2 linked regions of the Arabidopsis thaliana genome follow. The protein of the gene in region 1 purifies or fractionates together with the protein of each later gene. This does not show direct contact. Each region holds a gene or a part of one and is shown on either strand. Other genes may lie near its edges.

Region 1 (5,196 bases):
GGGTCTTTCCAGTCCCGGGTGGGCCAACTAAAAGCGCACCTTTTGGGATTTTAGCTCCCAAATCTTCATATTTCTTTGGGTTCTGAAGGAAATGCACAAATTCCATAATTTCTTGTTTAGCCTCCTCGCATCCCGCAACATCTTTAAAATATATCTGGCAAAAAACAAAATAGATCAGTAGTAAATCTCAATAGCATCATGAATTGGAAATGAAGATGGTAATTCAACTTCTCCACCCTGATTGAAATGCTGACCTTATTCTTGGAGTTTTTATCTGCTCTCGTTATTTGAGCTTTCCCTATATTGAAAATTCCACGGCCAGCCTTCCCACCAGGTCCGCCTAAACCTCCCAGTCCACCTTGCATCCGTCTTGCCCCAAAAATTAGCGTAGCCACGAGAAGTAAAGTCGGTGCAAATCTCAATAGTTCCTGGTACCAGATAGTTTCACTGACGTAGGTGACAGGAACAAAGTCATGAGAATTAACGCCTATAGCTTCTTGGGCCTCTTCTAGTTTCTCCTCAAATGATTCAACACTACCAATATTAAAGTAGTACTTATACTGACCACCACGTCCTTTAGCAGGAACTCCATTACCAGGACCTTGAACAACTTCTTCCGTTGTTTGGCTTTTTGGTGAACTCCTCACATAGACTTTTGCGACTTCTTTATTGGAAACATCTATGTGATCCACTAAACCAGCCTCGAGGAGCTTGTTTTTGAACTCCTGGAAACTAATCTGAACCAACAAATATAACACGGATAATTAGTTGACATTCCTCAGGCCCACACGTCTGCAGTTATATAGATAACATGATACACAGAGTATAGTTGGACATGCTTGCCTGTTGCTGTTCTCGGGAACCAAGAGAGAAAGTAGAAAGGATTAAAGCAATGGCCATAAGAGGAATTAACATATTTTGATATTCATTTGAGAACGCGTCCCCAGCATTTTCGTTTTCATTTTTCTTTGAACCATCTGCATCGCAACAAATACATATTCAATTACTACAATCTTCAAACAAACTTTCACAATCCTTTCAAAATGAATAGTTGTCAACAATCCTACAATTGTGTGCCTAATTATCAATTCAATAAGACGATAAAATGATTCCCGAAACTCTCAAATGTATCAACTAGTCTACTCAATTTCTTTTCCATAGTACCAAATGGATTCGACATCCAAAAATACGAGAATGTTACATAAACCGTCACCTCTGGATTCAGATTTCTGCTCATTCTTGGGTGCTTTCTTACTGTCTTTTGGATAGTAGTTCTCATAATCTGCAAAAGAAAAGCAATTTAGGCTTCCAATTCTCTCTCAAATTACTGTGAACACCTAATTTGATCCGTATAAAAATTTAGGGTTTGCTACATACTCTTCTTCTTTGGGGTTTGACTAGAAAAGAACCGACGCAATCTAGGGTTAGCGAAAGCACGGCTTAAATCACCGGCTTCTAGTCCCTTTCGAGCAGCAAAAGAAGCAAAGTGCCGCCTCAAAAACCCTAATCCACCATCCACCTGATTGACGGCCGCCTCGAGATTCTGCGGCGCTCGTAACCTCCCTTGGTTAAATACCGCCGATCTCACACCACCGCCGTACACAAATCCCTAATTTCACCGGAAAATTGAAAAAAATAGGAAATTAAACACAAAATTAACAAGCGTCGGAAAAAAAGCATCACAACGAAACGAACCTTAGAACGTGAGGATCGAGCGAGGGAAGAACCAAGCTTGGAGAATATCATTGTCAGATAATCAGAACGAACAAAAGTGAGCTCGCATAATATATAGAAACCCAAAATCGGAGATCTAATCAAAACCCAAAAGGAGAAAGATGGCAGCTTTGGTTTCAGATAGAGCAAAGTAACAAAATTTTAACAAGTGAAAATGTGGTGATTGAAAAAAATAAAGAGCCCAGAACGAAATTTGTGATTTTTATGGTGTTTGTTGAGGACAACAATTTATGTCACACTTTTGAGCTGCTTGGGAACCAAGACATCAACGCGTTCCAGACTCCAACATATGTTGTTGTTCCGTGGATTATTTCAACCGGTTTAGTCTTTCAACTAAAAACCAACCGGTTATTTATTTCGCAAATCTTTAACGTGGTTAATGGCCTTAGCTCCAGTAAATTCGGGCCCTTGTTTAGCTTAATGGGCTTCGTTTTAACTAAGCCACATTATAAACGAGCATTTGACTCGAGTGGGGTATGTGTGGCAACTATTCCCACCTGAATATAACTACGCTTTAGCACGTGGCAGTACGTTCCTCCACGTGTAAGTTTCTAGACCGCAAGTACCTAGCAACTTCCAGAACAAGCTACGGTCACTTCCAAAACTAGTGTAATAAAGAAGCAATCTAATTAAGAACCTTATTAGGAAAGTGCGAGAGAGCGGACAAAAATGGAGGAGAAAAACTACGACGACGGAGATACGGTGACGGTTGATGATGATTATCAGATGGGATGCACGACGCCTACACGTGATGATTGCCGGATACCAGCATATCCGCCTTGTCCACCTCCGGTGAGAAGGAAGAGATCGCTACTAGGCTTTGGGAAGAAGAGGGAACCACCGAAGAAGGGATATTTTCAGCCGCCGGATCTAGACTTGTTCTTCTCGGTGGTAGCAGCCTCCCAAGCGGCAACCTAGTTGCGCTTAGATTGTGACTCCTCTTTGACTTATATTGTCCCGTTGGTGTGTGTGTATTAGATTGTGACTCCTCTGTGACTTATATTGTCCCGTTGGTGTGTGTGTATATATATTTAGTGTTTCGGCTTCTTTTTTTGGATGTAGTCATGTAGGATACGCAGAACAATGTTTGTATGAACTTTATGTTGAACTAGTTTGGTTTTGAACTTTTGATGTTAATTATTCCTTTTTTGTTTTGTTTGTTTTCTGTCAGGTTGGGAAAAATATAAGTGTTTTTCTATATTTAATATAGAAATGGTCTTTGTATTATTTGTAGTCATGGACGCGTTTTAAGTTTTCATAACCGCTACACTAGTTATTTTCTCTCCAAGAATAAATTGAAAGCTATGTGGGTTAATATGGCATAACGAGGGATGGAAACTCTTAAAGAAAGTCTTCAAGTCCTGGCTTAAAGTTGTGTGGTATACATATCTAGTCCGAGGACCAATACTGATTCAAAATCTGCTTGGTCACTTTGATCATATGGAGCAAATTTTTGCATACCTTATAGTCGAAAACACATTAATCTGTTGAAAGCCGGTTCACCACGACCGGAGAAGAGTGCGACGGTCCATAATTCAATGATATAGTGGGTGGGGGTAAAACATTTTTGTTGAATTGTGGATGCTATAATCTTTTAACATTATTAGAGTGTATATATATAATTTTAGTTATGGTTTAGTTTGGTTAGTATCTTTGGTTAAGTTTTCTTTGTATTTAAGCTTAATCATGTATCACATTTCACTTTAATGAAGATTTCACGATTATTGAAAATTGAAATGGTATTAGAGCCAATTGAAGATTTCACGATTATTGAAAAACATGTTTTTCCATGAACAAATATCGTTAAAGAAAGGAGTCTAGATTTGAAACTTTTGTTGTCCCTTTGTTAAGTACAAAAATTCAAATGTTTGATTGTTTAACTAACGCAAGAGCAAAACAAACAACTTGTCCTAATAACCATGCACATAAATGCTTCCAACCACGCAAATGCGTTTAACGTTATAATCCGACCACATAAACCAGCCAAACTTGGAACAACGGTCACTTTGACCCTCATAAATCAAGCAATTTCGACACCAAAATCTATCATTCCTCTTCACAAGTAACAATGTGTGTACTCATATATACATACTAGAAAACATGATCATCTCTGTGATTAACATGGTGACGTCAACACTAGAAATTAGATTGTGACTGACTTTTAGAGGATGAACTAACATGACAGTTTACCAATTGAAAAAAATGGTAGAAAGTACAACACAATGTTTATTTAGTGTAATTAATGGAGTGAGTTAATTTCGAGAAAGCCATAATTTTTTGAAAACATAAGTGAAAAAAACAAGTGGAATATTATTAGACCAAAGCTGTCTACTCTTGGCCCCGATTTCAAATTATTTATCGTAAGAAACACTTTACCCCCGTCCCTCTCTGCTCCTTTCTCTCCAAACACTCCCAAATGGCCCTCTTACAAAAATATATTAATGTTTTCAAAAATTTTAAAAACTCTTAGAATTGTAGACCACTGATTCATTAAATTGTTTGAGAGACAAGTCCGCTCCTTGAATTTAGACGTTTCTAGACAAATTAGAGACAATGTCTCTTATATTAACATCAACCACTATACCAATGAAAGATAATTTCCATCTTATAAAAAACGTTCAGTTTCGTCTAACCAAAAGATGTAATTTGTCATTTACAAGTAGTTTTATTCAAGGCACAGTGTTTAAGCGGAATACTTGAGTCCCCCCTCTTCTTTCAATTGGATCTTATATATTTAGCCGTAGGCATGATTCCAAAATATATATCTTGCATTTTGTGAAAATGCTTTACTCTTATTGATAAAATAGTATTCCATTGTGATTCCTCTACAAATTTCATTGTGATTCCTGTCCCACTATGTCAGTTTTATTGATAAAATTTATTGTGCTCTCTCACTCATGTGACGGTTGATTTATGTTAACAACGTCGTCCTTGTATAACACCAAAACGTAGTGTGTGCATATAATATATGCGATTACGGGTTACCCACGTCTTACGGTCTATACTGAATTATCTTGAAACATATGTAATCGAATCAAATATAAAATTTCATAGTAATATATGGTAAAGAAATATTCATACAACTCAATGGACTGAAATACAAGAAAATAATTGAGAAGGAAATTAACCTTCGAAGTTTGTTGAAAACTGCTTAACCATGATTATAACATAAAATTTAAGACTAAAACTCAAATTAATTAATGTAGTAAAAAATAATGAATTATATACACTGATCATTTTTCATATCTTTTTTGTACATGATATATGTAGATTCTTTCTTTATCTCTTAAAACTACTAGGGGACAAAAACAATTATAGAATGTTTTCAAGAAAACATGAAATATTTAGCTTTTCTGTCATGAAAACAACTTTATTTTATACAGCTAACTTCATTTGATTTTTTTTTTAACTCAGGTGTATAGAATTTTTTTTCCTAGTACTAAAGTAATTTTCTAATCATTA
Region 2 (5,403 bases), 1.3 Mb from region 1:
AACGACATGACGTCTCCCTTTAACTTTACGAAACAGCAAGTCGTTCCGTCTTTTGTTAATCCACAACGCTTTTATTTTTTTGGAATTATTTATTGCTCAAAACATTTTATTATCTTGGTTAACGGTCATCACTCGTTTCCAGCTAATTTTAATTATACATGACATCATAAAAAGCAGCCGTCGGTTATATACAAATATTGAAATAAGAGTTTACTTGGTCAAAATTTTAAAATTTGACGTCACCGGAAAATTCGCCGGAGTTTCGTCACCCCCATAAAACTCCTCACCGGTGAAAGAAAGAAAAAGACGTCTCTATCATGGTGGCGCCGGCAAGACGTCATTAAATACAAAGGGTCCATGTTGCTCTGCTCATACAAAATCTTATTATACGTATGCAATATTTTATTTTCTCTGCTCTCCAATACAAATCCTTATAGGTAGATAAGGTTGGCAACTAGTGGAAAAAAGAAAATTTGAATAGCAAGCTAACAAGAAATATTTATATTTAAGTTTTATGAAAGGATTGGTACGGATCTTATATTCGGATATTTATATAAGCATGTCGTATGTAACATATACTAAAAAGAACTATTGGCATAGATCAGATCATATGAATATTATTGAGTTTTAAATTCAACTTCATCAATTGTCCGGGGAAACACAGGAAAATATCAACAAAAAGTTTCATTGAAAATGATGAATAATACTGACCAAAGCCAATCTGCGTCTCTCTCAATATGTCCTCTTAAAGACTATTTTCAGAATCAGTCACGAGAAAGGGTCATTTGGTCAAACACCAACCCATCCTTTACTTCCAAGGCGGAGAGATCTTTTAAATGAAATGAATATGAAATGAAGAAACTTACTCGTTCCTTCTCTTTTACTTCTTAGGCTCCAAGTTCATTTCTTGAAGGTTAAGCAACAGATCGTTGGAGCTCAGGTAAACCTTGTTAGCAGATTGTGCAATGGTCTGTGCAATCTCTCTCGCAGCTTCAATCTTTCTCAGAGTGATGAATGCCTGATTGTTCGCAATTGCTTGTCCGATAAGCTGAGCACTTTTAGCTTCTCCCTGCACAAAGATTCAAAAAGAGCTAATGCTTCAGGCCAAAACCACTAATCTCATGTCATTAGATTTGCAATCAAGATCACCAATGCTATACCTGCGCACGGATAACCGCACTTCTCCTGTCTTGTTCGGCTTTCTCCACAATGAACTTAGCCCGTTCAGCTTCCTGAGCAGCAACTTGTTTTGCCTCGATAGCTGCGGTGAACTCTTTGCCGAATGTCAGAGTCGTGATGGAGACATCATCAAGAGCAATGTCAAAGTTAGAAGCCCGCTCTGTCAGAATCTTGCGTATCTCTCTGCTCACAGCCTAGAGGAGAGAGTAAACAGAGTCCACCATTAGAAACAAAAGAGCAGAAAAGTTGTAGAAAAAGAATGTTGAGATACGTACTTCTCTCTGGGTAATGAGCTGGCTTGCATTGTACTGAGCTACCACTGCTTTTAGGGTTTCATGGATGATGGAAGGAAGAACCCTTTCGCTGTAGTTCTCGCCAAGGGTTCGGTAAATCTGAGGCAAACGGTCACCCATGGGACGTGTGAGAACCCTTAATCCAATTTTCACCTGTGCAACACCCAAGAAAAATATCAGAAACACAGCAACTCCTTTAAGAAAGAAAATGGAGACTAAGTTCTTTCTTGCTCTACCTAAGTCTACTGAAAGCAAGTGTAACTTGTCTCTTGTTTTTCCACTTATCCATACACTCACACAGTTCATATAAGGATCAACATTGATCGTGTAATATCCTAAAAGAGTAAGTGATATTTAATCTACAGCTCCATAACCTCAAACCACACCCAAAATTTTCTAAAACATGCTCTTAATGCTGCATTGAAGGGTCTTAACATAACGTCAAAAGAAGGAATATCTAGTATGATCTATATAGCACCACATTCAGTAACATCATTTAAAATTAAATCCCTGGGCTAAATATTGTACAAACACACACAGAAAAGAAGCCAAAAGAAGAAGAAACCAAAACGCACCATCTGAAGATCATGACTACCAGTGGTGCTCTCTACAAGGTAAGGTCGTGCACGAACGTCATAGATGATTGGCCTTTCAAACCATGGCACCATAAAATGTGTGCCTTCTGGGTACACCTGAAAACACAAATCCAAGTAAAAGTAACGCTTTCTTAGAATTCAAAGCCTCAGATATAAAAGTACATCTTGTTAGTTTGAGAAATACAAACCTTTTCCTTGATACCAGTTAATCGGTTGAACATGACAGCACGGTGTCCTCCATCGACATTGTAGAGACTATTAGTAAGGGCATAGACACCGAGCCCACCAATAACGCTGACCTTAAGAAGGGCAGAGAGAGCAGGAGCTCCAGGAATGTTGGGAACTTTGTTGAAACTCATTTCCTGATAGCAAAACAGAATTCAAACCGCAATGAGATACCCAGGAGAAACAGTTCACAGCTAAGAACTTTATATGTAGCAAACTAAAACGCCGCAGGGATAAATTCGTTTGTCAGCAGATTAAAAACATCATTATACGAAGATCCAAAGGACTTAACACCGCATAAGAAATCACACACATAGAACAATCAATGCACAAGCCTCCATTTCAGAAGAAACAAAAAATCCAAGAGAGCAAACAAAGAAGTAGTGTTACTAAGAGAATCAATTGACATGGCAAAAACTGGAGAGAAAAACGAATTCGAAAAGATCGCATAGAAAAGCGTCAGAAATTGAAAGCATCGGTAGCAGATCCCAAGGCTAAAATCGATCAAGCCTTTGAACATTATCAACTAGATACAGTACCCATAGATCGTCGAATATATATGACGAGCAAGTCAACAAGCTTTCAACAAGAAAAGATCCACGAGATTTCACCAAATGATCATTCCAACTCTAAATCACACAAGGATTAGCAAATTGACCGACGATCAGGCACTGTGTGACTATCGACAACCAAACAGAGCATACAACGAAACACAGTGAAAACTGGGAGGAAAAAGCAGATAGATAAACCTGAGCTCAGCTCTTAATCGACGGCGATGGTAGGATTTATGAAAGATCACGATCGGAGCTGCCGGCGAAGCTTAGGGTTTTAGAAATGAGAAATCGGTCAGATATGCATTGGCAAACTACCTTCTAGTATGTTCGTGCCTATTTGCTTAGGCCCATTACTTTCAAATATGGTTCATTAAACACATTATCTTTTTCGAGAGGCCCATTTTAGGCATTTAGTTATGTTTTTGTTTTCCGTCCTCAAGTGTTTGACAAATTTTAAAGACATTGCTCAGGCCCATTATTTTAAAATATGTTTCACTAAGCCCATTATCACATGGGCTAAGGACGATGAATTATAATTTAATGGCAACTGGGTAGTTATTATCATGTTTATTTTAAAGCGTGTTACAGTAAAACGATTATCTGAACACTTTATTATTATGAATACTATCTATACTGCTGGTCAGAATTAAATAATACTACTAATCTATGTCTAGTAATCGCATGTGATGGCTAGTTTTTCGGATCGGCTACCGATCCTTCGATCCATTTTTCACGTAGCTAGAGTTAAAATGTCGTGAATGGAACTTGCAATTAAAACAGAAAACAAATAAGCATCTCATCAATTGTATACGTACTTTAGTAATTAAGTTAACAAAATATTTTGTTCACATCACAAATTTGTTGTTTTGGGTTCGCCAAGAAAAGAGTTATCCACTTCGACAGGCACAATTGACAACTATAGACGACGTATGTTATTAAAAATCTCACATTTTATTTCACGGAACTTAATCAACAAATTTCATATTTATACCTCACATCGCAGGATAAAATCAATAGAAAGCAAAACAAATCTTTGCTATTAAATTTTCAAAAGAGAAATTTCAAACATAAGACAATAAGTCCAAGACCAAACCCTAGTCCGACTTTCTTCTCACCGGAGCCTGACTTATCCGACGGTGACGCTGCCTTCTTAGTGGAGCCGGAGTCATCGGTAACCCCACCGGATTTAGATTTAGGGGCAGGAGCAATCGGCGAAAGCTTGTGCTCTCCGAACATCTCACCGGGCAACAAAACCATGTCGACAACATAAACTGCGAGAGGACGTTGTTGCCTCAACGAATTGCTAATACGTGTCTCCACATAACCAGTAGAGACATTGATTTGGTTTGTTTGGCCGGTGAAGTTAAGCCCGTAAACACCGTTGTCTCGGCCAGAAGCTTGAGTCCTAACCGGGTTACTCACGGAGAGGAGATCATCCATACTGTAATATTTGGGGCTAACGTGGTAGAGAATGAGTTTAACTTGATCGTCAGGGCTTAACTGGTTTAGGGTTCCGGGTTTAAGGTTTTGAAAAGCATTGTCTGTTGGTGCGAACACCGTCATACCTTCGGATGAACTATTGACTTGAATGTTCACTTGACTACCGACTTGAGTGATGTTTAGAAGATGGATGAAAGTAGTGAATTGACCACCTTTTTCGAGGATCGCAGTGAGGTTGATGGGACCAGCAGGCTCTGGAGCGGGGGCTGCCGGCTGAGCCGTTGCCTTGGTTGCGAGTAGTACGGCTGCGATGAGGAGGAGAGGAGCTAGAGTTAGACGAGTGGTAGCCATTATTGGTTTGCTTAGTTAAAGTGTGAAGAGTGATTTGGAAAGTGAGATCGGAAGGGAATGGTTTATATGGAAGTTGAATGTTTGGAGTGATGAGTTGTATCTTGTTGGAATGAGATGGCCAAGTCAATACAAAACGTTTGTAGACAAATAATGTCTAGACTAGAGATATATCATTAACATAAATGTTGTGTAGATGAATTCATATACGAATATATCAGCCGTTAAGATTCGTTTAGTATTTAAAATTAGCATATGAGAAAAATATTAGATTAGAATATGAGGTTGGTGGAACCGTAGGTAGAGCCCACATCACATGTAATGGGATCGAGAGAGTCAATAATTTACATAAAATATGTGTGGAAGATAATGTTCGACAACACAACTTACGGTGTAAGGTGGACGTAAATCGGGATAGGAATTTAGGGAATGAAATGGAGAAAATTGAAAAATCCTTGGACATAAAACCTTCTACATTTGGTATTGCTACAAGCCTACACCTAGATAGGTCCTATTAAATCAGAACTTTTTTTTTATAGATAGTATCATCACTATATCATCATTAGAAGTTAACTGAGAATAGAATACAAAACTTTACAGCATAAATGACTTACAAATAATGTAATTAACGTAATCCGCAATATACATACAATTGATGCATTCATACATATAGATGCGTAGACATGTAGCATGTAATGTATGTTAGAAGAATATATGATGTGTGTGTTTTTGTAAAAAAGAACAAAATGAGTGGACAGGCTGACTAAG

What was found.
Region 2: the proteins of ftsh10 (region 1) and PHB2 purify together in Arabidopsis thaliana (affinity purification with mass spectrometry, with the first as the bait; one study listed by BioGRID). This does not show direct contact.

Annotation. Positions count from the first base shown.
Region 1 is NC_003070.9:2,302,239-2,307,434, reverse strand, and holds the start of ftsh10 (FTSH protease 10), read right to left. Parts: upstream 3,001-5,196; 5' UTR 2,653-3,000; coding exon of another isoform or gene 2,404-2,652; 5' UTR 1,747-2,403; coding exon 1,696-1,746; intron 1,610-1,695; coding exon 1,378-1,609; intron 1,283-1,377; coding exon 1,214-1,282; intron 978-1,213; coding exon 844-977; intron 738-843; coding exon 255-737; intron 155-254; coding exon 1-154. Other genes in the region: AT1G07500 (uncharacterized protein), read left to right, coding at 2,404-2,652. UniProt on the Arabidopsis thaliana protein: Probable ATP-dependent zinc metallopeptidase. Involved in the assembly and/or stability of the complexes I and V of the mitochondrial oxidative phosphorylation system.
Region 2 is NC_003070.9:978,731-984,133, forward strand, and holds PHB2 (prohibitin 2), read right to left. Parts: upstream 3,273-5,403; 5' UTR 3,043-3,272; exon of another isoform or gene 2,833-3,042; intron 2,431-2,832; 5' UTR 2,428-2,430; coding exon 2,257-2,427; exon of another isoform or gene 2,165-2,256; coding exon 2,048-2,164; intron 1,626-2,047; coding exon 1,455-1,625; intron 1,374-1,454; coding exon 1,161-1,373; intron 1,070-1,160; coding exon 881-1,069; 3' UTR 577-880; downstream 1-576. Other genes in the region: FLA9 (FASCICLIN-like arabinoogalactan 9), read right to left, coding at 3,895-4,638. UniProt on the Arabidopsis thaliana protein: Prohibitin probably acts as a holdase/unfoldase for the stabilization of newly synthesized mitochondrial proteins.